Astyanax mexicanus: one gene and its partners. The protein of the gene in region 1 purifies or fractionates together with the protein of each later gene. This does not show direct contact. Links are inferred from orthologs where the notes say so. Each region holds a gene or a part of one and is shown in the gene's direction. Other genes may lie near its edges.

Region 1 (8,305 bases):
TATTCTTTTTTTATTAATTCTCAATGCCTAGAGTTTCAATTGCCCCACAGTCACCACCAAACTGTTTGTGCAGGTCCCCAAGCTCTAATCCTCAGCCATACTGACCTGCACTTATTCTTCTGTCGTATTTTATCTCTTGTTCCTCACACATTAGCTGAACAACCATTCTACATTTTCTTCGATATGGAAAAAAACTCTTTTATAGCCAGCCAATCAAAATTTTCAAACTACTGCTAAGGTGTTGTAATTGGACACCTTGCTGCACTTCTAAAAGGCTTACTCTGTATTATGACACTATGCTGGCTAGCATTGCACTGAATGATGGGGGAGAGGGAGGGTCATCCTATATCCACTTAGAGAGAGTGAGACCAGTTATGCTCTCTACAACTCCTGGAAACCTGCAGCCTTCTGATAACAAGGCCAACGCTTAGACAGTTGCACCACAGATCTACCCCAAATCCATTCCAATCTTCACAATAATCTTAAATATTCTTCTCAAATCTTCTTACAGGTTCAGCATGCCAGCAAACACATCACGGCTGATAAGCAGTACAAGGGCATCGTCGACTGCATCGTCCGCATTCCCAAAGAGCAGGGCTTCCTCGCTTACTGGAGAGGCAACCTGGCCAACGTCATCCGATACATCCCCACTCAGGCCCTCAACTTCGCCTTTAAGGACAGGTACAAGACGTTCTTCCTGGCTGGAGTGGACCAGCACACCCAGTTCTGGAGATATTTTGCGGGTAACCTGGCTGCAGGGGGCGCCGCAGGAGCAACTTCTATGTGTGTAGTCTACCCGCTGGACTTCGCCCGCACTCGCTTGGCTGCTGATATTGGTAAGGTGAAGGTGGAGAGGGAGTTCACTGGGTTGTCGGACTGCTTCGTCAAGATCTTCAAAGCTGATGGACTCGGGGGACTCTACAAGGGCTTCGGTGTGTCAGTGCAGGGCATCATCATCTACAGAGCTGCCTACTTCGGCATCTATGATACTGTCAAAAGTGAGTATATGTCTATCTATGATACTTCGGTATCTATGATACTGTCAAAAGTGAGTATATACCTATACTTTCATATACCTAGGTAGACGTATACATTTATATCACTAGTTCTCAGTTATGGTCCTGTAGAACCTGTGTGATGCATATGTGTATCGTTATTTTATTAAAACCATATAATATTAGCTATTGAAATTAATATTCCTGGTCACCTTATTGACTAGCCTGTAACAGAAGCATTTGGACAGCTCAGACTCTTTAGAATTTTTTGCACCTCGTATCCAGAGTTTTATAGAGGTTTATCACTTGTTCTGAATAATTGATTTTGCACCGCGGACCGTTTCTGGGCTCGTCTGAGGGACGAGAGGAACTTTTTCCAAGCTGTGAATCGATTGCATGGTTCCATCCACCTCTTAGTAAATATTGCAGTTTGCGGTTGTTTTTCTATTTTACTCATAAACACTCATAATGCAAAGAACAGCAGCAGGAGCTCCTCAGATAAAGTGGTGTTCTCATTTTTCTCCAGGCAGGACAGAGTGAGACGAGCGTTTGACTCCACAGAGCTAAGCTACAATTACTCCAATGTGTTAGCTTGTTATGCTAACTGGCTAGCGTTAGTTAGCAAGCTGTGTCAGTATGCTTCTTTACCAGTTTTAATTTCCCCTCCGGTATAACATATGAACCGGTATACCGCCCAGCACTAACCGTACAGTACAAATAAACAAATACAAATGTGGAATATTCAATCATGATCACACACATATAGACCAGATGACATGACCCACACAATATTCCATGTGAGCCCCACATATGAATGTCAGTGATGGGCTCAGAAGGGGTTAACCATGGGCCCTATCTGGGCTGTACACTGCACACAGATCCTAGATGGGACCTGTGTGAGAATAAGATGGGCTATAGCGATAGAGGGCTGCAACCTAGATCATGTTCTACGCCTGTGAGCCCCACATGAGCATTTTGGCTGGAGAAAAGATATTTTTTTCTAAATAAAATACACGTTGCCATGCTTATATTAGAAAAAAAAACACTGATCGGACTGTCTTCATAAATGTACATACATTGTATTTAACTAAATTCAGCAACTCTCTGATTTTTCTTTCCTGTTAAAGGAAATATGTTGACATTGGTGTTTGGGGTAATTAACCAAATACTACAGACACAGCAGACAGAAATTTATACTTTGGGCTGGACTGTTTCGTTAGCGAGGTTAAAATGGGTGTATTTTGGAAAGCATTGGAATGTGCACTAAACACAACTTCTGTCTGTAGGTATGATGCCAGATCCAGAAAATATTCACTTCATGTTCAGCTGGATGATCGCTCAGAGTGTGACCACTGTGGCTGGAATCATATCCTACCCTTTTGACACGGTCCGACGCCGTATGATGATGCAGTCTGGACTGAAAGGAGGTAAGATCAACACTGATAACAAACCTAGCAACAAATTAAATTGCAGATGACCTATTTTGTTATGTGCCATAAGTTCTTCTGTAGTATCTGGACACTTTCAGACATAAGCAGCAGATCCTTCACGTTTTGTCCTTTAAGTTATGAGTTGGGGCCTTGATGACCTTGTTACCAGTTTACTGGTTGTCCTTTGAGCATTTTTGGTAGTTACACCCCACAATACCTTCCCAATGTTTTGGAGATGATCTGACCCAGTCATCTACCCGTCACAGATTTCTTGTCTCTCAGATTCTTACTTTTGCCCATTTTTTCCTTCTTCAACACAACAACTTAAACTCACTTTTTATTTCTTCACTTTTTATTCATTCTTGTTATATTTTCTTTTTTTTGTTGGGAATATACAGGGGATGCATTCTACACCGGCACAGTGGACTGCTGGAGGAAGATTGCTCGTGAAGAAGGCATGCAGGCCTTTTTCAAGGGAACCTTCTCGAACATTCTGAGGGGCGTTGGAGGCGCCTTGGTGCTGGTTTTGTACGACGAATTCAAGAAATTCACCTGAATGACTGCCGTCAACCTGTGTTTGTGTGGAACCTGCCAGCAGTGTGTGTGGAAAGATTTATTGGTAATTGATTGAAATGGGGTTTTATGAATCATTGATCATTGTGTTGCCTTTTTTAAAGAATATTTATATAAATAGTATAGAAAAGTCGCAGGACACTTTTTTAAATCAGAAACGAAAGGGAAAAGTAATGAAAGCAAAAATTACATATCTGAATAACCCAGGCTATGTCTGGAACATGGCCAGTATTTCAAAAGCCATATTACGCTTTGGAAATAAGAGTGTCCTGTGATTTTTGACTTACTCTGCACACTGAGGAGGCAAAACATTATGACCATTGAATATGGCAGCTAGTGCCTTTAAAGGTATTCTGTGGTATCTGTCACCAAGACATTATCAGCAGATCCTTTTCTATGTCCTGTAAGTTTTGAGGTGGAGTCTACATGATCTGATTCACCAGTTGTTCTTACTTAGTGTGCTGACCATTGCATACTGGGAACTCAGGTGCTATTGGAACATGTGAGTGGTTTTAATGTTATGGCTGACTGGTGTATGTGTGTGCGTGTGTGTATATATGTAACAAACCAATAAAATTTATAAAAAACCTGGTGTGTCTGTAGTATGTCTTTTTATCTGTTGATGCACAATTTATGTTAAGAAAGAAGTTTATTTTTCAATAGATTTCTTAATCATTTAATTACACAGATATATTAAGGCGGTTGGGTATTAGATCGCCTATTGTTACCCATTCCCCACTGCCCAGTGAACAATATCATGCCAGCAGTGATGAGCCTCTAACCCAGCCTGCCTGCCAACAATCTGCATTCACACACTGACACCATGCGGCGGGATGAGGTCACCCTGGCCGTGTGCAGTAACGCCTGTAGGCCTGTGGGTGGAGCAGCAGGCCACACTTCAGTCCCTGTGCTGCTCAGAAGGCCTGAGTCAGAGCTGAGCATGATGATGCTGGGGGCTGTGTCACTTTACAGAAAGATGCATGAGGCAGGCAGGAGTGAGACAGATCAGACAGGTGAAGTCACATAAACTAACCTCACTTTACATCTCAGGAAGCGTTAGAGGCAGAATCAACAGAAGTTCAGTATGGCATGTGAAATACAAATACAAATTAAAATATGATTCCAGGTGTAAAATATTTCTTAACTTCAAGCTTAAACAAAGAAGAGACTGATGTGTGCTTCTTATTGGCTCTGAATAAACAGAAATATAAATAAATAATTGGTTATTAAAACTTTTCCTAACAGTGCACATTTTTACATTTTTAACATGGATTAAAAAAACATTTATGCATATTATTAAGATAAAAATAATAAGAGTTACCAGTAATAATAACAATAATAAAAAATAATAATAGCAAAGTATTATTATTATTAGCTTCAAATAAATAATACCACTACTATTTTTACTACTTCTATTATCATTAATATTAAATAATAGATGTATAAATCATATTGTAAGTTTAAATATTGCAATAACATTGATTCATTTATGTTTTAAAAAGAATACCAATAGTAGTAATAATAATAATAATAGTTCTGCTTCTTCTTTTTCTTCTTCTTCTTATAATTCTCACATTAATAACTACAAATAAATGATCACTATTATTACTATTATTACTTAATTATACGAATTACTATTACAATTAAATAATAATATAAATGTTAAAGTTATGGTTAAATATTACAATGATAATCTGAATTATAGTATTACTATGATAATATCAATAATTATAAAATAATTCTATTAATGATTCTATTTCAAAAAGAAAATTAATAGGAACCTCGGTAATACACACTTCTACAGTAATTCGTTCCTATTATTGTAATAACTATGAACTGAATTCTAGGTGTGTATAAAGTGAATGAAATCACAGGCTGCTGCTGAATTCTCTCTTATTCGAGTTCAGCGACGTGCAGCGCTTTTTGCGTGGCCACGTTAACCACGTGCTGCTCGCAGCTCCGCTTTTTCGCTTCGTCTCTCCGCCGCCCGTCTCACTAACAGCAGCGATGGCGGATCCAGCAGAAGCAGCAGCGACGGCGGCAGTCCCGCCGCAGACCTCCCCGGCTCTCTCCCCGGCGCTCAGCCCGGGCTCGGAGCCTCCCTCCATGGCTCTCTCGCCGTCCGCAGGCGGCGCCCAGCGGCTCCTGTTCTCACACGACTTGGTCTCGGGTCGACACCGCGGCTCTCTGCGCTTCGGCCTGGTGCGGATGATTCACGGGGAGGAGGACTTCGAGGAGTCCGACTCGGATGTGGAGGATGGCGGCGGGAGAGGAGGCGGTGGTGGCGGCGGAGGTGTTGGAGGCGGCGGTGGAGGTAGCGGTGCTGGAGGAGGTGGCGGCGGCGGCGGCGGCGGTGGAGGTGGTGGAGGAGGAGGAGGAGGCGGCGGCGGCGGCGGTGGAGGAGGCTGCATCCCCGGGAATTCAGACACTGAGAGCGGGGCGGCTGACTCTCGGACGTGGCCTCTCGGGAGAGGCTTTGTACGGGTGCAGTGGTACCCTGAAGGGACGAAGCAGGATGTTCGAGAAACGAAGGTAATTTTATGCTCCGGTTATTCGATTTTTAATCCGTTTTATTGTCCTCCAGCAGCATCCCTCTCTGGTTCATCCCTGATTAGCCCGTGTAGCTAACCCAGCTAGCTAATAATGTCTTCTCCACGCCTGCTAACCTAACTAGCAGAGGCAGGTAATCGCTAGCAAAACGACGATTAATCGATTGTTCGTAGATGAATCGTACAGTTTCCCCGCTTCTTTGCGTAAAAGAAACATATAATGCCTTGACAACGGTGGAAGTGTTTTTGTTTTATTTTAGGTCTAATTACGCTACAATTGTCCCAGGCTTTTATGATTATTTTTCATTAATGGCATAAAATGAAGATAAGTAATCGATAATGTAAGCGCATAATCAGATTTGCATAAAGCATAGAATTACAGCAAACAGATGCAAACAAGTCACCATGGATGAATGGGTACAGATTATGATGAATACAGGTAATTCACCTGCTGCTTAGAAGGTTTATTGTTTTTTGATAGATTTTTGGTCAAGGTAACCATGTTTCAACATGATCTATCTCGTTTAGCAGACTGCTCTTGTTTTTTTTCTGTAACCTTCCATCAAAACACTCTCTCAATCCTGTTTTTTCAGGATTTTAAGATTTTCCCATGCACCAGTTCCTAGTCCCAGCTCCCCATCATGCAAACCTCAAACGACACCTCTGAGACCCTCCCTGTTCACAGTTTTTACTTATGTAAATACGTAAAAGAACAATAAATTATGCCACAAATCCATTTGGACTTGGGATCGTTATGTCAGCAGGTTGCCTGCTGATCCATGCACAAGAAAGCTGTCAATGGTGGTGTTTACTGTGGTGGATGCTTCTACACCCATCTCCAGATTCCGAAAGGCCAATTCAGTGCCCTGATCTAAACAACAAAAGTGTGCCACCGCTGTTGACTGTGGGCCACACGTTTTGACAGTTGTATTGGATGGCGTGGGCTGGGCAAGTATTCGTGTGCTCTGCCCTTTGTGTGAATCACACAAAGAATTGATTATTCCAGGCTGGGCCTCACTAGAATCCACCTTTTAGGTCACTTCTGAAGCTCATCAGCAGTGATAAATGCGCATGGCTGTGAATGACCTTAAAACAAAGATTGGGTGTTCTAGCAAAAGGTTTAAGCAATTTTCTAGGATAACTGCTCAACCCATCCATATCGGAACAAAGCCTAGGCCAGCCTCATGAACCTAGGTGTGTCTCAGCATTGATTAGCCAGGCTTTGCTGATTCGAGCAGTGACCCCTCGGCCTACTGATGTTCTGTCCTGCAAGTCGTAGTTTTTTAAAAATGAATGTGCAAAAATGTTTCAGGCTCACTTTTGTGAGGCAGGTTGTGAAATTTTCACAGTTATTTTGCAAATAATGTAGTCTAGAAGGGTTCTGTGGCTTAACGGAATTAAAGGATGTAGGTCTACACATGTTCGGGAATTGAAGGGCCATAACAAAATTAAAATATAGAATCCACTAGGGATGGGCGACATGGCCTTAAAATAATATCACAATATTTTGTGGTGTTTTTGAGATAACGATACTCTTGGCGATATGACAAAACACTGAATTCCAAAAAAATATTTAATAAATACAATACTGCAACAAAATGAAAGTTAAATGCTATTCTTGTATATGATATGATATGGCACACTCCTAACTGAGATACAATAATATAATAAAAATACAATAATTTGATCAGATTTTTTTTTACAGAAGTCAGTAATTGAGAATGTCATGATACTAAAATCCACTTCAAATATCTCCATCTATCCAGGATTAAAGTAAAATAAATGATACTGGACAGATTTAATCTGTCTTTAGTAGATGTTAAATGAGAACAGTGTAAATTTTTCTTTTGCTAAAAGTAGCAAAAAGGTAGTACCCTGATGTGATGATTAGGGGTGGGTGATATGGCATGATATTTTAGGGTATAATATAGTTATATTTAAATATGATATTTAAAAATGTTGACTATTATTGCGATACCATATGGCACACCCCTAGAATCCACATAGATCAGCATTAAAGAAATCCTTTACATGCAGTGCTCCAGTATCATCTAAATACACTGCATTGTTTTGTTTTTAGACAGTGGTCAAATTGAACATCTGTATTACAAGGATTTACATTACAAAACAGTTTGCTGATCTAAATGAACAAAAGTGTAACCTGAAGAAAAATGCTCAAGGCAGGAATTTCTTGTTTAATTATTGCTTCAAATAAGTGATTACACCTTTTAATAATTTATATTTGACCTGAGCTGCATATCAATTTTACAGCATAAATAACTTTGTTAAATAAGTGTACTAATACTGCATTCGAATTAATTTGGAACTGTGAACTTTTACACATGTTGCATGGTGTATTTGATTCATATTATTGAAATGGACTGTTATTTTTAGTTTTTTACTTGTAAAGGTCTTTTTGGCCCATTAAATAACAGATAATGTTATTTATCGGGAATCTTTGAAGAATAGAAAGTACTATAAATATATCAGTGTGTTGTTTGTTTATTTAATTCACAGAATTGTTATAATATGGATTTAATATTAATATTAATATATTAAAAATATGGCCATAAAAATGCATGATTGTTGCCTTGCTGAAAGCAGGTGCACACTTTAAAAGCAAACACATGATACTGTCCTCCAACAAGTAGTACTGTGTATTAGTAAGAACCTGACAGTGCAACACTAAGCATGATACAGGGGTTAGTAAATTAGTAAATTGTGATTATGTAGATTAATTAATTAAATTAATTAATAC
Region 2 (8,359 bases), on another chromosome or scaffold:
TAGAAAAGCTCCAACATTATATTTTTATTTTTTTTAAGATAAAAGCTTTTGGCATTACATAATTACCTCTAAATTAACTATATAATTAGTTTTTAAACAATCGTTAACTAATTTAATTACCTAAAAATAAGAAATAAGTAAAAGTTATGCTAAAAGGAAGCATCAATGGCAAAGACAATGTTTAAGTACAAATGGACAAAAAAAAGCTCCAAAATGAGTTTTTTCTTATTCTCTGTTAAAGTTGGCAGATACAAGCTTTTAGCATGACCTAATAACCTCTAAATTAACCATATAACTCCATCTTTATTTACAACCATTGACTAATATAATTATCTAAGAATAATGACACATTACACTTTTTTTTTTACATTGTGTCAAAATTTCAGGGTGAGTAGACCAATAGAAAAGCTCCAAAATTATTATTATTTTTTAATCTCTTGTAAAGTTGGCAGATAAAAGGTTTTAGCATTACCTAATTACCTCTAAAATAACCATATAATTACGTTTTTATTTACAACCAAAAATAAAACTTTACTATCTAAGAAAAAGTAAAAGTAACGCTGAAAGAAAGAATCAATAGCATTTTTCACTTTTTGACATTTTACAATGAATGGACCAATAGAAAAGCTCCAATTATTATTATTTTTTTTTATTATCCTGTAAAGTTGTCAAAAACAAATTTTTGGCATTACCGAATAACCTCTAAATTATCAATATAATTAGTTATTTTAACAACCATTACCTAATTTAATTTACTAAGAAAAAGTTAAAGCAATGCTAAATAGAAGTGTCAATGTAAATCTGACTGTTTTATTTTTTAACACTGTGTCAAAATGTTTTATCCTATTATCTTTTAAAGTTGGCAGATACAAGGTTTTGGCATTACCTAATTACCTCTAAATGAACTAAATGAAATATAATTAAATTTTTATACATTTTTACAATTTAAAGAAGTTCTACTATTATTTATATTAATATTATAGAAATTTAGAAATAAGACATCTAATAATGTATTAATTAATAGTGTATTGTAATAAGGATGAATATACATTTAGTTAGCATTAATTTCCTTTACACAATTACCTCTAAATTACCGCTAAGATTCTGTAAAAGTAATGTTAAAAGAAAGGATCGATTTCACATATTTAGACTGTAACATCTGTAAACTGTAAACTGTAAAACCACAGGCTCATATTTTTTTTCCAGTTTTTATTTTTTTAACAAAACCAGAAGCAATAAGGTTTTTATTTTGTAGATTATCAAGAAAATGAAAAAGTAACATTTTATACATTACTTTAATTTGAGGCAACAGATGGATGTAAATGTAATTTATCCAGGCTTAAAGAGTATAGGGGGTGGTGGGATCATATTTCTCAATTATTAAATATTCAAGTCTAATATATATATATATAATATTTTATCTACTTTTAGGATTTTTTAGGACTTTTTGCCCAAATTTAAGCAAAAATGTGTAATTTAATGCATTTCCCAATATTGGAAAATCTGATGAAAAAGTTGATGGCCTCTAAAGGGCCTCAACATTTTCGGAGCACTTATGAATGTTAATTTTTGATGGCTTTTTAATTACCTATCTTCTCATTTTTTCCTCAAGGTGTTACCTGGAAAGGACTGGTGTCAGATTCTGATGGGTGTGTGGGTGTGGCTTCGCTCTGTGAACGTTTGGTCAACGTTCTTCCTCAGTGCTTTTCATTTCCACACTCTGAGACGGACGGCTCCTCCCATTACCAGCCTGAGCGGTCCCCGAGGTTTACCCAGAGGAATTCTAACGGGGTTCGGTTTAATCTGGAGCAGCAATCTCCTCTACTCCGTACCTGCCTTCATTTACTCCACCAGCGGAGGAAAGAACGCCACAGAGGTACGGAATCACTGGTTTGAATCCTGGTCATGCAGCTTGCCATCAGCTGCCGGAGCCCTGAGAGTGCACAATTGGCCTTGTTCTCTCTCTCTGGGTGGGTACAGTACAGTAGATGGCGCTCTTCTCTTTCTCCTCATCACTCCTAGGGTGACGTGGATCAGCACAAGGCTGCATCTGTGAGCTGATGTAACAGAACCGAGTCGCTAGCGCTGTGACGCTACTCGGCAATGCTGCATCAGTGTACTGGTCTTTACCATCCCTGTGTTGGGTGATTCAGTGTTCTTGCACCATTTAAAAAGTCAAATTTAATGCTTTTTAAGGCCCAAAAGTTCTCTCCCCCGTAACGTTAACATAACTTTCCGCTGACGTTAGTACATTAGCTAACTCGCCGCTAATGTTAGCTAGCTTTCCACTAGCTAATTTACAGTAAACCAAGACAATTTAAGACCTTAATTACCTAGATTTTATAGGTAGATTTCAGCAGCTTGATGATTGAAACAATTGGCTACATAAATTGGGAAAAATGGGAAAAAAATAGAAATAAATTTAAAGAAAAAATAATAAAGTCATGCATGAAAAAGAATGGGAGTTAATGGGAGTAACAAGGGATGTAAAAACAACAAACGGAAGAGCATGGCTTAGTTCAGTTGAATCAGAAATTGTGTTTCATGAAATTTGTATTTATTACCTGCAGTTTGTTGGCTGTTCTCACTAAATTTCCTCCCTTCTGTCTCTTATATATTAAACTACAGACGTTAATGTTGGTGAGCAGCACCACACGTCCGTTACTGGGCTGCCTGTGGGATTTTCCCTCCGTCTACAGCGGTCTGGCCTTCGCCACCACCTCCATGGTGATCCACGAGATCATCCCCATCGTGCTCATGAGCGTCACCAACCTGGGATCACTTCTCACACTGTACGCACACGGAAACACCCACAGCACCGGGAATAAAGCCCAGGACGCTCCGGTCATCCGCAGGGTTCCTGCAGAGAGACGAGCTGCCAAGGTCAGAACATTTACTGCCACAACTTTCATTTATTTTCAATAAGAAGCTGCACTGCAAAAAATTAAATCATAAAAAGTAAAAAAAAAAAAAATCAAATTTAAGGCTATAAATCTTCTTCTAAATTCTTTCCTGATAAGACTTTTGGTCTTATTAAGCATCGTGTAAGTGTTAGATTATTTTGCTTATTTTAGGAATAATTGTCCCTTTCAGACATGAATTAATTGATCCAGTGATGGAAAATGTAAGAATGCTGTTTTCTTTTTGTAATCCAAAAAAAAGACACTATTTAAAAATAAATGTAAAAAATACATTTTATTTTTAATGCACTTTACATTTCAAACAAATGTAAAAAAAGAAAGTGCTAATTGATTAAAACTGATTAAAATTGATTTAAAACTTTAAATTGATTTAAACTTTTTATTCCTAAACATAACAAAAAAGTGTTCAAAATTGCAGAGAATTAGTAAAAATAAGCTTATTTTTAAGATAAACTTACCTTTTTTGTTCTGTAGTGATTACATGCCCATTTTCTTTTTTGTACAATGCAGTGGGCGGGTCTAAGCTAGTTTCATTGACTGGTTTATGATCTATTCTGATGGACAACATCAACGTCTCAATTAGTGTTCTGTGTAAATTAACATTCAATAAAAAGAAACTACATGATGTCCATTGTAATTGACACAGGGTCTGTCAGTCATACTTCAAATTTTTACTTTATTTTAAGTAATTTGAACTCAAAATAAGCATTAGGTTATTTTTCTTATTTTAATTAAGTTATTCTGTTTCTTTTGTCCAAATGTAAGGCAAGAAAAAAACGTTTTTTGAATGTTTTTGATTGATTTAAAGCTTACCGCACTCGTTTTAAGACTTAGCGATTGTTTTTTTTTTTTTTTTGTAATAAATCTTACTAAGAAAAATTTGCTCACCCCATTGGCAGATTTTTTTGGCTTAATATAAGCATATATGTCTTAATTTACATAAATCTTGTCTAGTTTTTGACGATAGATTTTTTTTGTATTGTGGCTCTATGATGCGAGCTCAGCTCAGCATCAGCAGCCGGAGTCTGAGAGATCCCTCACACCTGATCTAGATAATTAATGTTTTTTAGCAGCATGTGAATGTTCTAGATTCAGGTACGTTCAATCTGAAATCTCCAGGGTGGTAGATCTCCAGGGGGCTGCTCAGCATCAGCAGCTGGAGTCTGAGAGAGAGCACAAATGGCCTTGTTCTCTCTGAGTGGGCATATTAATTGTATTAATTTCTCCCTTATTTTTTTTGTATTTCTCCTCTTCAGGTGATTCTAGCCCTGATCCTTCTGTTCATCGTGTCCTGGGGTGCAAGTGTGATCTCAGTGAACTACTTCAACTACAACCGCGGAGCTTCATCTACGTACCTGTTGGTTCTGGCCCGTTTCTCCAACAGTCTCTTTATAGCTTTGTCTCCCCTGATCCTGGCTGTGGGACACCGGAGACTCAGACAGTTCTTTAAATCCATCATCTCTCACTGACTGACTTGTGTTCTGCAGGTTTTAAGGGACGATACATTTTAATGCAGTAAAGTAATATAAACTTACTTTAGCTTGCTAGAGTGATATTGTCATGATAGGTCTTTTATTCTGAAACCTATAAATACTGTGCCATGCCAACTAATAATAAATAAAGGGCTTGTATGGTGCCACATCTATGTCAAAAACACCAGGTGACAATAATAAACATGCAAGTTTTAACATTTTATCTGTTCAGTTTTTTTTTTTTTTTTTTGCAAATTCTCACGATTGCTGCCACTAGTGGTCCAAAAAATTTTAACACAGATTACAATATAATATAACACATATTTTGGGAAAAATCACTAGAACGTGCTCAGTGTCCTCATGTCATTAGCATAGCCGCCATTTAGCTATTTTTCATGTTTTTGCTAATTCTATGCTAAAAACATTCACTGTTACTTTCAATCCTGTTACTCAAAACATAAAAAGTAACAGGAATGAGTGCCAGTGACAGGAGTGAGTGCCATTAACAGGAGTGATTTGTTTTGTCATAAATATCAATTATTTGAACATGCAGTCAACCATTTCTTTAAAATAAAGACTTTCTTGAGAGAAATCAGCTTCAGTTTAGTAATCTTGTAAAAAGGTTGACCAGCACATGTTTTAAATCGTTAAATACATGCATTTTTAGATTAAGATTTTTAGAAAAAAATAAATAAATAAATTTGGAAGACTTACAACAAGCAAATGGCACCCATTTGGTAGAATGTCCCATAAATACAAACAATACAACACTATACAAAGTCGAGGCCATGCATTATTACTGTTATTATTATCGATTAAATAAAGAAATAAAGAAAAACATTGAAAGTGAAAATGTGTCTAAACTGTTTTTTTTTTTTTTTTTTTTTTAACGTGGGACTCTTATTTTGACAGGGGCCGGTTCGACGTCTTCCTGTGTTTTCCGACCGGCTTGAGGTTTGGCGCGCTGAGTTGAAAGGAGCTCGAGCTGAGAGCTGAAGCTGAATCTGTAGGATAGTTAGTTAGTAAAAGGCTGGTTATTTGGTTTATTTGAGTTATTCTGGTGAAGTTATTAAGTTATTTCTCTTGTATAAACTCTCACCCATGCGCAGCCTGTTATTGTATGTTATAATATTCACTGTAGCCTAATAAAACCTGTAGATAAATTAGGAAGGTTCTCTCAGGGCTCAGAATGGACCGATATAACGATTTAAAAATCCTCCTGAAGAAATGGGAACAGTCCTTTATGCAGATAAACAACAGGAAACCCAACAAGGTAACATTAGCTACATGTTTACTCCTGTATATCTTCTTATACTGAGTGATTTAAACATTATTGTTCAGATGTGAGTTTCTGTTGCTCTCGGTGAAGCTGTGTGTTTACCTGCAGGCTGGTTCCTGTTGTAGTTGTGGTAATTTTAAGCTAAATAATGATTTATTAATATATATAGATAGATAGATAGATAGATAATTAGGTTAGCTAACTTTAGCTAATGTTGTCATGCTTGTGTGTATTTATTTTTCTATTCTTTAATAAATCTCAGCTCGCCCGTGCAAATGTACACCATTTGAGATAATACCCTATTTGTTTTAAAAGACAGTGATTAAATCCGAATAAACTTGATATTCTAAAGTAAGCTGGATAAAAAAGGGTAACCTCCTAGAAATATGGAGGAATAATAACTTTAATAATATCTACCATGGGAAAAAAAAAAAATATATATATATATATATATATAATATTTATTTATTTATATATTTATATATATATTTTTTTCCATGGTAGATATTATTAAAGTCTATGTGATGCTGCGATAGATAGATAGATAGATAGATAGATAGATAGATAGATAGATAGATAGATAGATAGATAGATAAGGTTAACCTCCTAAGAATATGAGAAAAAAAAATTAAATATATGATTTAATTGTCTATTTTATTGTTCTAAGGACAACATAAAATCCTAACAGTACAAACACAAATTAACAGTAAAAACTGTACATGTTTACAAAAAAACACCTGATTATAATCTTTGTTCTTTTTATTACATGTATATGTATATTTGTGCGTTTGCGTGTGTGAGTATATAAATATAGTAAATATATGTATTAAACATTGTTGATTATGTCAACTATCTGCTGTATGTTAATATTTTTAGCAGTCAGTTGAATAATATAAGCAGTTCTTGTTCTACATTTTGTGAGATTTTAAAAGTATGATAATCTTAGTTTTACGGTAACACATTGGGTGGTATTTCCAAAAATAATCCTGTTGTTGTTTTTATTATATATTTGTAATATTATACATAGACATTTGAAGGAATGTAAACCTTAAACAGTTTTTTTTATACAATAATATGTCTTTTTTTTTTTTTTATAAACTAAATAAAGAAAGCTACAAGTGAGATGTTTTTCTCAATTAATTATCACATTTTTTATGGATTAAACTGTTGATTTCTCAAATAATTTAATGATTGCTTTTTTAGGATGATATTGATGCAGCTCCAGAAGAGACCAGGCGTAAGTTAATAATCAATTTTTAATACACTGCACGTGTTTTTGTCTCTTAAATAAAAAGTTCTGTTTGTATATATTCATTATGTCCTGAATATATTTGCTCTCTTGCAGAACTTTATAAAGAGTATCGCACTCTTAAAGAGGCGAAAGTTAGTGGAGAGAGTGATGTTCAGGTGAAATCACAGGAATCCCAGTCTGCAGGAATGGTATGTACCCTGATTTATGCAGTGTTTCTGTGTTTATCTGTGTTGATCTGTAATTGTGTTTCCGTATGTTTAAATAAATTATGATTGTGTTCTTGTGATTAAAAGGACTGCTGGGGGTCTCACCTTAACCGAAAGAGCATGCCAGTGGCTGCACCCAAACTGACATTAAAAGACAAAGAGACGTTGCATGCATCTGCTCAGTACTTCGGCATGAAGCTGAAGTCTAATCTCGGAGCTCTGTCAAAGGTAAGTGTCGGCCTGTCACGATAACTATAGATGCTCGTAAATAATACACATAACATGTGAACCTACCACAAGAATATGCATTATCTATGTATGCATGTACTTATGTTATAAATTGATTGATTAAGTTGAATAATGTATTTATCACAGCTGGCCTAGGCAAGTGAGAATTAAATTGTATTAAATTGCAGAACTGTTTATTGCTAAAATGAACCACTGTCTGACACCAATTTTAACATGTATCGTATTTTGCACTATAAGGTGCACTGGATTATGAGGCACATTTTATGCGACACTAGGAAGAAACAAGGGTATCACCATGTTTTCCTTGTAATTCAGAAGGCGACGAGACCTGTGAAGCTGAGCTACCTTAAGTAAACATAACTGTAATTCTTAAAAAAAAAAAAAAAGCATTTTCTTTTAAAGTCAAAGTAGTGCTGGATGTTAATCTAGAAAACTGTTTATTTGGGTGAGAAAAGCGCTTCCCGTTTATTTAGAGTAAGCTTAGATTTCCAGTTTTTCACTAAGGCTGGGTACAGCAGCATTAGTAGCTTATTTTAACAAGGTAAACGCACAGGCCACAGGCCGATATACTCAACTATGAATGGCGCGGTTAGCGGCTAATGCTAATACTGCTGCACCCAGCCTTAGCGCTTCAGAGGCTTTATTGAAAGTCACCTTTATAAAGCTGTAATTCAGTGGAGTGGCTTTATTGCTACTTGAAACCTGACTGGTAGAATTTATACATAAGGAGCACTGATGATTTTTGTGAAAATTAAAGAATTTTAAGATTTACTGATTTTTCTTGTTTTTGAACTGTGTTTAATTACAGTATTGGTAAACTAAATATTGTGATACAGCATGATTCATGATACTGTTATTTTCTTACACTCTTATTAAATTGACTGTCTAGCAGTGTAGCTGTCTTATCTGTCTGTCTACCCATCTGTCTTCCTGCTTATCTTAAAATTTAGGAACGATCATTCTCCCTCAAAAAAGCAGCC
Region 3 (7,276 bases), on another chromosome or scaffold:
AGCCAGTACCACTATGCCACTAAGAATCAGTCAAGCTGAGAATCAGTAAAGCTGAGATTTTGAAAAACAGTAATTTTATCTTGTTCATTTTTTATATAAGCAAGGTTGCATGATGAGGTTCTGCAGTAACCTCTTTGGAATTTGTTCTTGTGCCTGAGGATTAAACCACAGTCACAGCACTAAAACACAGGCAACACCTTTACAGTTCCATCTTTAGCCTTACTGTACCTCAATACCAAAGACAAGCTGTGGAGTTTCTTTCTTAAAGAAGAACATAATTTTATACCCTTTTTTAGTAAAATTCTGGAAAAAAGAAGGATTGAAATGACACTGAAAAAGCATTCTGGGTATTAGGTTTTTCTGTTTGTTTGTTTGTTTGCTTGTTTATTTAAATTGTTGTTTTGAAGGTGGGAGGGGGAAGGACAATTTAAGCAACCCAACCTGTCCTGTAGCACTGGAACCTTCACAACACGTGTATTATTATATCACTACTGGTATGGTTTGCAAAACATATGTAGCAAGACAGATATTTACAAGGCTGTTGAAAAAGTGAGTCTTTTTGAAGGTCATTTTTGTACATATTAAACCTTCATAAGACTAATCCAAGGCACTGTTTATTATACTACTATTGTTATTAATAGGCTGTTAGTCTAAAATGTTAAGACTGATAACTAATAAGTTATCTGCTCCCTAAATGTATGTTTATTTATCAGTGGTCAGCAAGTCTGCACCTGTCTGAAAAACTAGTCCTCTTGTACAGATAGATTATCCCAAGTGTTCTTTTTGTTTTGTTTTGGTTGTAGTTGTTCAATTTTTTGTTTCTGTTTTTGTTTGATTTTTTGTTTTTTGCTAGTGCTCTATCTTTCAAAAGAGCCTGCTTGTGTGAAAACATGGCATGGATTATTAAAGATGTGTTGTGATATTTAGAAGACTTCCAAGTTTCGTATCTTTCTGTGGATAGGGATTTAACAGCTTTTTTTGAAAACGACTTTTCAAACCTCACAGGTTTTCTTATTATGAAGTGCTTCAGATGCAATTAAAGTCCTACATAGAGGGTGATTTGCAATTCAATGCCCTTTTCCAGAGACATTTTTGACAGTGGTGGTGATCAGACCCTGACATTTGTAGAATTTAACACCTCAAAGCTGCAAATTCACTGCCAGATGCCTGTTAACACTGCCTTATATGGATGCAAGAAATATAGCTATCTATATTGTATTGTATTGTATTGTGATATCTTGGCATGTTCTCCTCCACCAGTCTTACACACTGCTTTTGGAGAAATTGATGCCACGCCTGGTGAAAAAATTCAAGCAGTACAGCTTGGTTTAATGGCTTGTGATCATTAATCTTCCTCTTGATTATATTCCAAGGGTTTTCAATTTGGTAAATTTAAAGAAACTAATCATTTTAAGTGGTCTCTTATGTTTGACTTCTTTTATTAAAATTTTATAGGATAAGTGTTTAAATACTATCTAAAATTTGACAACAGTCACAATATGTAATATGCAATATATCGCAATATTGAATCATATCTCCTGTATCATGATATGTATCGTATTGCCACAGCCCTATTGCTTTAATTTAGTTTTAGCATTAGGAGATGGTTTAACGGACTCTCTGAAGCAAAAAAAAACAACAACAAAAAAAACATTTCCACTATGTGGAGCAGAGGAATTGTGTTTGGCTCTATAATAATGATGCTCCATCCAATATTTCTAAAATGTTAAAGTTGTAGAAGTTAAGAGTGAAGATGTTGTGGGGTGGTTTTGTAATCACCCAACAAGCATGACCTCACCATTGCTCTTACTACTGGATGCAATCAAAGGTCCTTAATACACTTGGTTTATTAAGAAACAGTTAATATGCAGGTGTCACAATACCACTGTCCATGTAGTAGATTTCTATCACCACCACTGTAAAAACTTTACAATGCACCATTTCACTCCAACACACTCTGAAAACTATGTTAGAATTTTAGCATTTCTTATTTTCTTACTAAAAAAATGAAAGATTCTGCTTTAAGCCAGGATTTAAAATTCGCTTTTGTAAAACTGATATTTTAAAAAACATAAAAGAACAATTTGATCCCAGGTGTGAAAGTGCCTGTCCATAACCATGCAGTTAATACAACATATAAATAATTCTGCTAGAAAGATACAACGATTCGCCACTTTGTTTGCATTAAATGATGTTTACTCAGCAGTTGACCTTTTCTGTATGGTCAGTTTTTTGTCGTGTTCATTTTATTTTGGATTTTTTTAGTTTTCTTTAGATTTTTGCTAAGTACATGTGAGGAGAAGTTTGTTTTGTAATTATTACTGTCAATATTGTACTTGAAGCCAGCACTGATGATTTGATCTTAAATACGATATAGGCCTGAATGATGGCTACTCCTCTCTGGTAGAACTGATTTTTGATGTATGACCTTTTTTCCTTGTGGTGTTATATCCTGTACAGCAGACCGTATGGAAGTTTGATAAAGTTGTACGGCATTTCAGAAGGGTTTGCTCTTCTTTTTTTTTTTTTTGAATAATGCTTGCTGAGATTTTTTTATGACGTTTAAAAATAATAATAATAATAAAATCATTGTAAAGTACCAAACTCTGTGTGCTGCTTTGGGGTAAATAATGTAATGCCAGTGTAAAGCTAAAAACTTAAAACACACTGCTATGCAAAACATTTCTCTTTTTTTTACCTGTTGTCTTGTTTTTTATGCTTATAAACATGTATATAGATATACAGATTGATGTATAGCATAAGTTAAAAGAAAAGTCCCTTGGTTATATGAGAATTAGTGTTTCTTGCTCTTGGACTCCCTCTAGAGCTGGGAAGTATAATTTGCAGAGACACAGAACTGACATCTAAAGTGAGTACAGCCCATTTCAAGTTACATAGTGCAGTTTCTGGCAAACCAAGCCCAGAATAGCAACAATGCATTTCTTTTTATTACACATCAGTAACAAGGGTCATGTACATTTCCACTCATAAAAAAGAGAATTCTCACATATATTATTGCTACTACTAGATTTCTTGGCTCCAGACTTAAGAACCCCTCTCTTTGAATCTGATCTTAACCAGTTTTTCAGGTAACCTCCAAGTGTGCTATGTGTCCTATTTCAAGGAATGCAGGGCACTGAATCACCAGGATCATAAGAACCATTGGACTCATTGTATGGGAGCTCTTCTCCCAATTTAGCTTCAAAAATGAAACATGCTTCATAATATGGCTTGGTGTCATAAAAACTATTTAAGAGCTGTTCAACTATTTAAGCACTATCTAAAAGGCTTTTGGTCCATTGGTGTATAATTGTTATGCTTGTGGCTATATTAATAGTAAATCTTTAAGTTACAGGTTTTTCTAAGTATTATTTTTAAGCCTTTGAAAATGAAGAAAGGAACTGTGGATGTAATCATTGCAGTTCTTCCTTTTTTAACCACAACATAAAACAAATATGTAAAAAGTATTTCAAGAGGTAACAAAGATCAAGAAAGATTAAGGGGTCTTTTTAGGTCATTTCGAATCTATTAGTCATTTGGAGTCACATATGTGAAGTATATTAGCACCTGTTGTTTTAGCTTTGAGATTGAGCATTGCAAAGTGTTCATATACTTAAAAACAGTCTTAAAACAAGAAATAATGGTTTGGCACCACTAAATGTGCATTTATGAATATGAAATAAACCAAACAACAAGAACAGGTTGATCTCGAATAAAGGATTTCATTATTTCTGTAAAAACTAATCAATGTAGTTCTTTTTGTCTTGTTTTTGTTTGGGGGGCCGGGGTCTCAAATAAACCATATTATTCCAATAAGAAATAATCCAATTCAGTTCGGAAACTGCAGTTCTGAGCTTACTTGTTTTTTTTTTTTTTTTTGTGGGAATGGGGATATAGAACATATTAAGTGGATAAAGCATATCTTTACCCTATAAATCCTGTATCTCCAATAAAGCAAAAAAAAATTATAATAAAGTTTAAATAAATAAATAAAAAAAATAAATTTAAATAAAATTTAAATAAAATTTAAATAAAAATAAAAAAAAATCAAATGTTAAATAAAAATAATAAAAAATAAAATAAAAAATAAATAATAATACAATATAAAAAAAATAATAATAATAATAATAAATACAAATTTAAATACAAATTTTATTGAAATAAAATTTAAATAAAAAATAATAATAAAGTTTCCAACAAAAAATAATAATGAATGCAGTTCTGAAACTCTTTGAGTTTACTCTGATGTTGAATTCCGCTGGTCCTTGACGTTTCGTTAAGGCGGCGCTACTCGGACGCCGGAAACCAATGGGGTCTATCTACTCTAGCGCTGCTTCAGAGTAAGTAGCGCACTTCACTGATACTGCCCATGTGAGAGAAAACAGCTCTGGAGGAGGTAAGGAAGTGAACATCGTACAGAAAGATCCTCTGAAGATCCAGATGATTCTCTGAGTTAGTTATGTAGTTAGTTAATTAGCAGGTCGATTCCGTTACTCGCTGGGCTGAACTGTAGCAGTAACGCTGTTGTAGAGGAGATGTAGTAGAGTTTAGCTGGCGGGCTAGTTATAGTTAACATAGCGTTGTTTTTCTTGTTTTTCTGCTGCGTAAGAACAGCTTTGTCGGGATTCTGTTGGCCGGCTGATGTTGCTGGTCGATTTAACAGCGTTGTTAGAAAACAGAGTGAACGTCTCTATCCTCCAGATTACATTAATGAGGATATTTCTGTGACTGACTGCTGAGCAAACTGCTGATGTGTCTGAGATACAATAACACAGTGAAGCAGCGCAGCTTTAGGTGAACTAGCATAGCTAGTTAGCGTTAGCTTTATTTTCACTGACTAGCAAACGTTAGCTATCATATTGACGTAGCAGCTAACTAGCTAGGTTAGTGAGTTTAGCTTTAGCTAACTACAAATCATCGTCCATTTATAAAACTTAGCTACATCTATAGTCAGCTAGCCATACCTAGCCTAGCTTAGCTAATTTTGAGCAGCGGGCTAGCGAGCGCTTCTGGCACCGCCCAGCCCCTCTCGCCTCAGTGTTAAGCTAGTTAGCTTAGCTAACCGAGCTACTTATAGCTACAACATACTTATCATTTATTGTGTGAAATGTCTGCAGTAATAACCCTTTTAATAATAACAGAACCGCTTTAAAAGAACGACTTCTGTGTGTTAAGCTAGGCTATGGTAGCAGGGTTATGTGGTTAGCAGTGCTAGCTAGCTAGCTAATCAACATAGCCAGCTCCGCAGATTGAAGCTGCGCTGCTAGCGTTAGCTAACAAAGTTAGCCGAATTGCGTCACCGGCATCAGCAGTTTTCCCGCAAGTCGAGCTACTGAACAACTGTAGGATAGAATATGGGCTGGAGATGCTAGAGTTTGATAATGTTTTAAATTCCCTCAGAATTAGTTGGCTTAAAACATGTCTGATAAACAAATATAATTCAATTTGGTACTTTTATTAAAAATAATATTTTCAACAAAATTGGAGACCTAGCATTTATCTTATATTTATTTGACTAATAAGCTCCCAATTTCTTTCTCTAGTTTGCATCAACAGGTGCTTCTTGCGTGGAAGCTGTGCTTTGTTCATAACTTCTCTCCACATAAAACGTTTTTTATGGAATAACTCTGACATAACTACTAAAATAAGTCAGTATTTTATCCAACGTTATTCACAGAGGTATTCAGGGAATTATTTTAATTTTTATTTTTGACAGTTCTGGAAATATTCTCTCATATGAACTATTTATGGCTACACATAACTTCCCTGGACCCCTTCAGAGAATACTACACATTAGCAAAAGCCATTCATAAAGGCCTTATTCAACTAGTTTAAGTAATTCAATAAAATACATATTAGAAATATATTACATACCAAAAAACAAATTTCTCCCAGAGGGAAGTTTTACTGGACGTCTTTAATTGGACATATTGAATGAAGAAGAACTTGGCTTTTACCACATAAATACTGCATGTAATTTATATATATTCTAAGTTATATCTCATATTTTTATATGTTGTCTTAAAAAGTCGAACAACTGAAGACTTTAAAACATTGTAACGTAGCTAGTTGTCAGTAATTATTACAATAGTGTTGCCAGAAAATGTGTAAATGTATTCCCTGATATCAAAGAAACATTAAATAAAGTAGGGCTGCAACTATCAATTATTTTGAGCAACATTTCCAACATTTTATTTAATAAACCAAACAGTTCCCAATAGTATTTTTTTTTATTATTATTGCTTAATCTGTCTGTTATTATTTTGATTAATCGATTTTTACTCATTTTTGCACTAATGTTGTAACTGTATAAGAAACATACATCCTAACTAACATTTATTAAAAATAGTATTGTTTACATACTAAACTTATCGATTATTATATTATTATTATTATACTATTTTAATAATTGATTTGTTGTTGCAGCCCTAGAATAAATGTATGATAACAGAAAGCAGGCTTTAAACAATCTTTAATTTTGCTATAGACAATGTATGCTAATGCTGAATTTCTGACAATTCTGACAACCTTCATTTAAAGGTTTGGAATTTAACCGCATGCTGATAGATTAAGACAATAATTATTAGAGGAAATAATTAGTACTTTAGTACACAGACTATAATAAATCAGTTCTGATTCTAGAAATCAATGTTTTAGTGAATTAGAGACAGGAAAATGAACATTGATTCTACATACTTTTGCTATCTGAGAGGCAATCTGTTTATATGAATGAGTACTTTTTGGTGGTTGTTTGTGTGCTGCTGATTCAGGTCTGAGCTTGAATTGTAAGAGCATTTGTTGTTTCAGCCCTTTTGTTTTTCTGCCCACACCTGGCTTACCAGCTTTAAGCCATTTTGCAAATAATGCTTCAGTTCATAACGTGTTTGTCCCCTTCATAGACCCTTTGAGCTGTGCTTACGAGATGGAGGGTGACAAGAACGAAGCCAAAGGTACAGTAACTGTGATCCCTCTGTAAGATCCTCAATTATCTCTGTTATGTGTTGTGGAAAAGAGCGGACCATTCTGTTGCTGTCTTGGCTGCTGAAAAATTAATCAGCAGGTGGACAGTTGTTTCTTCTGTGAGTTACCCTATGAATGATTATTCCGAGATGCCATTCTGAAGAAAGCCAGTGTAAAGTTTCAGCTTAAAAGTTTCATGAAAACTTGATATTATGCTGCCAAGACGTTACAGCAATTAGATCCCCTCCCTCCAATCTGTCTTCCACACAGATGTGGAGAGATACCTTAGAAATCTCTATGTTAAGGCATTGTTACA

Evidence for each region. The genes of interacting proteins can lie anywhere in the genome.
Region 2: the proteins of ube2o (region 1) and recql4 purify together in Homo sapiens (affinity purification with mass spectrometry; 3 studies listed by BioGRID, with this or other methods). This does not show direct contact. The link is inferred for Astyanax mexicanus from reciprocal best matches to the Homo sapiens genes UBE2O and RECQL4.
Region 3: the proteins of ube2o (region 1) and nap1l4b purify together in Homo sapiens (affinity purification with mass spectrometry; 3 studies listed by BioGRID, with this or other methods). This does not show direct contact. The link is inferred for Astyanax mexicanus from reciprocal best matches to the Homo sapiens genes UBE2O and NAP1L4.

What each region holds. Positions count from the first base shown.
Region 1 is NC_064412.1:29,560,905-29,569,209, reverse strand, and holds the start of ube2o ((E3-independent) E2 ubiquitin-conjugating enzyme UBE2O), read left to right. Parts: upstream 1-4,938; 5' UTR 4,939-5,005; coding exon 5,006-5,530; intron 5,531-8,305. Other genes in the region: ADP/ATP translocase 2, read left to right, coding at 512-998, 2,282-2,422, 2,824-2,981. UniProt on the Homo sapiens protein: E2/E3 hybrid ubiquitin-protein ligase that displays both E2 and E3 ligase activities and mediates monoubiquitination of target proteins. Negatively regulates TRAF6-mediated NF-kappa-B activation independently of its E2 activity.
Region 2 is NC_064410.1:3,354,774-3,363,132, forward strand, and holds the start of recql4 (ATP-dependent DNA helicase Q4), read left to right. Parts: upstream 1-5,339; 5' UTR 5,340-5,582; coding exon 5,583-5,666; intron 5,667-6,875; coding exon 6,876-6,909; intron 6,910-7,017; coding exon 7,018-7,112; intron 7,113-7,217; coding exon 7,218-7,358; intron 7,359-8,329; coding exon 8,330-8,359. Other genes in the region: olfactory receptor class A-like protein 4, read left to right, coding at 1,613-1,876, 2,629-2,883, 4,178-4,390. UniProt on the Homo sapiens protein: An ATP-dependent DNA helicase which unwinds dsDNA with a 3'-overhang in a 3'-5' direction. Does not unwind more than 18 bp of dsDNA. May modulate chromosome segregation. The N-terminal domain (residues 1-54) binds DNA Y-shaped DNA better than ss- or dsDNA.
Region 3 is NC_064430.1:13,698,433-13,705,708, reverse strand, and holds the start of nap1l4b (nucleosome assembly protein 1-like 4b), read left to right. Parts: upstream 1-4,256; 5' UTR 4,257-4,340; exon of another isoform or gene 4,341-4,396; intron 4,397-6,899; 5' UTR 6,900-6,922; coding exon 6,923-6,950; intron 6,951-7,276. UniProt on the Homo sapiens protein: Acts as a histone chaperone in nucleosome assembly.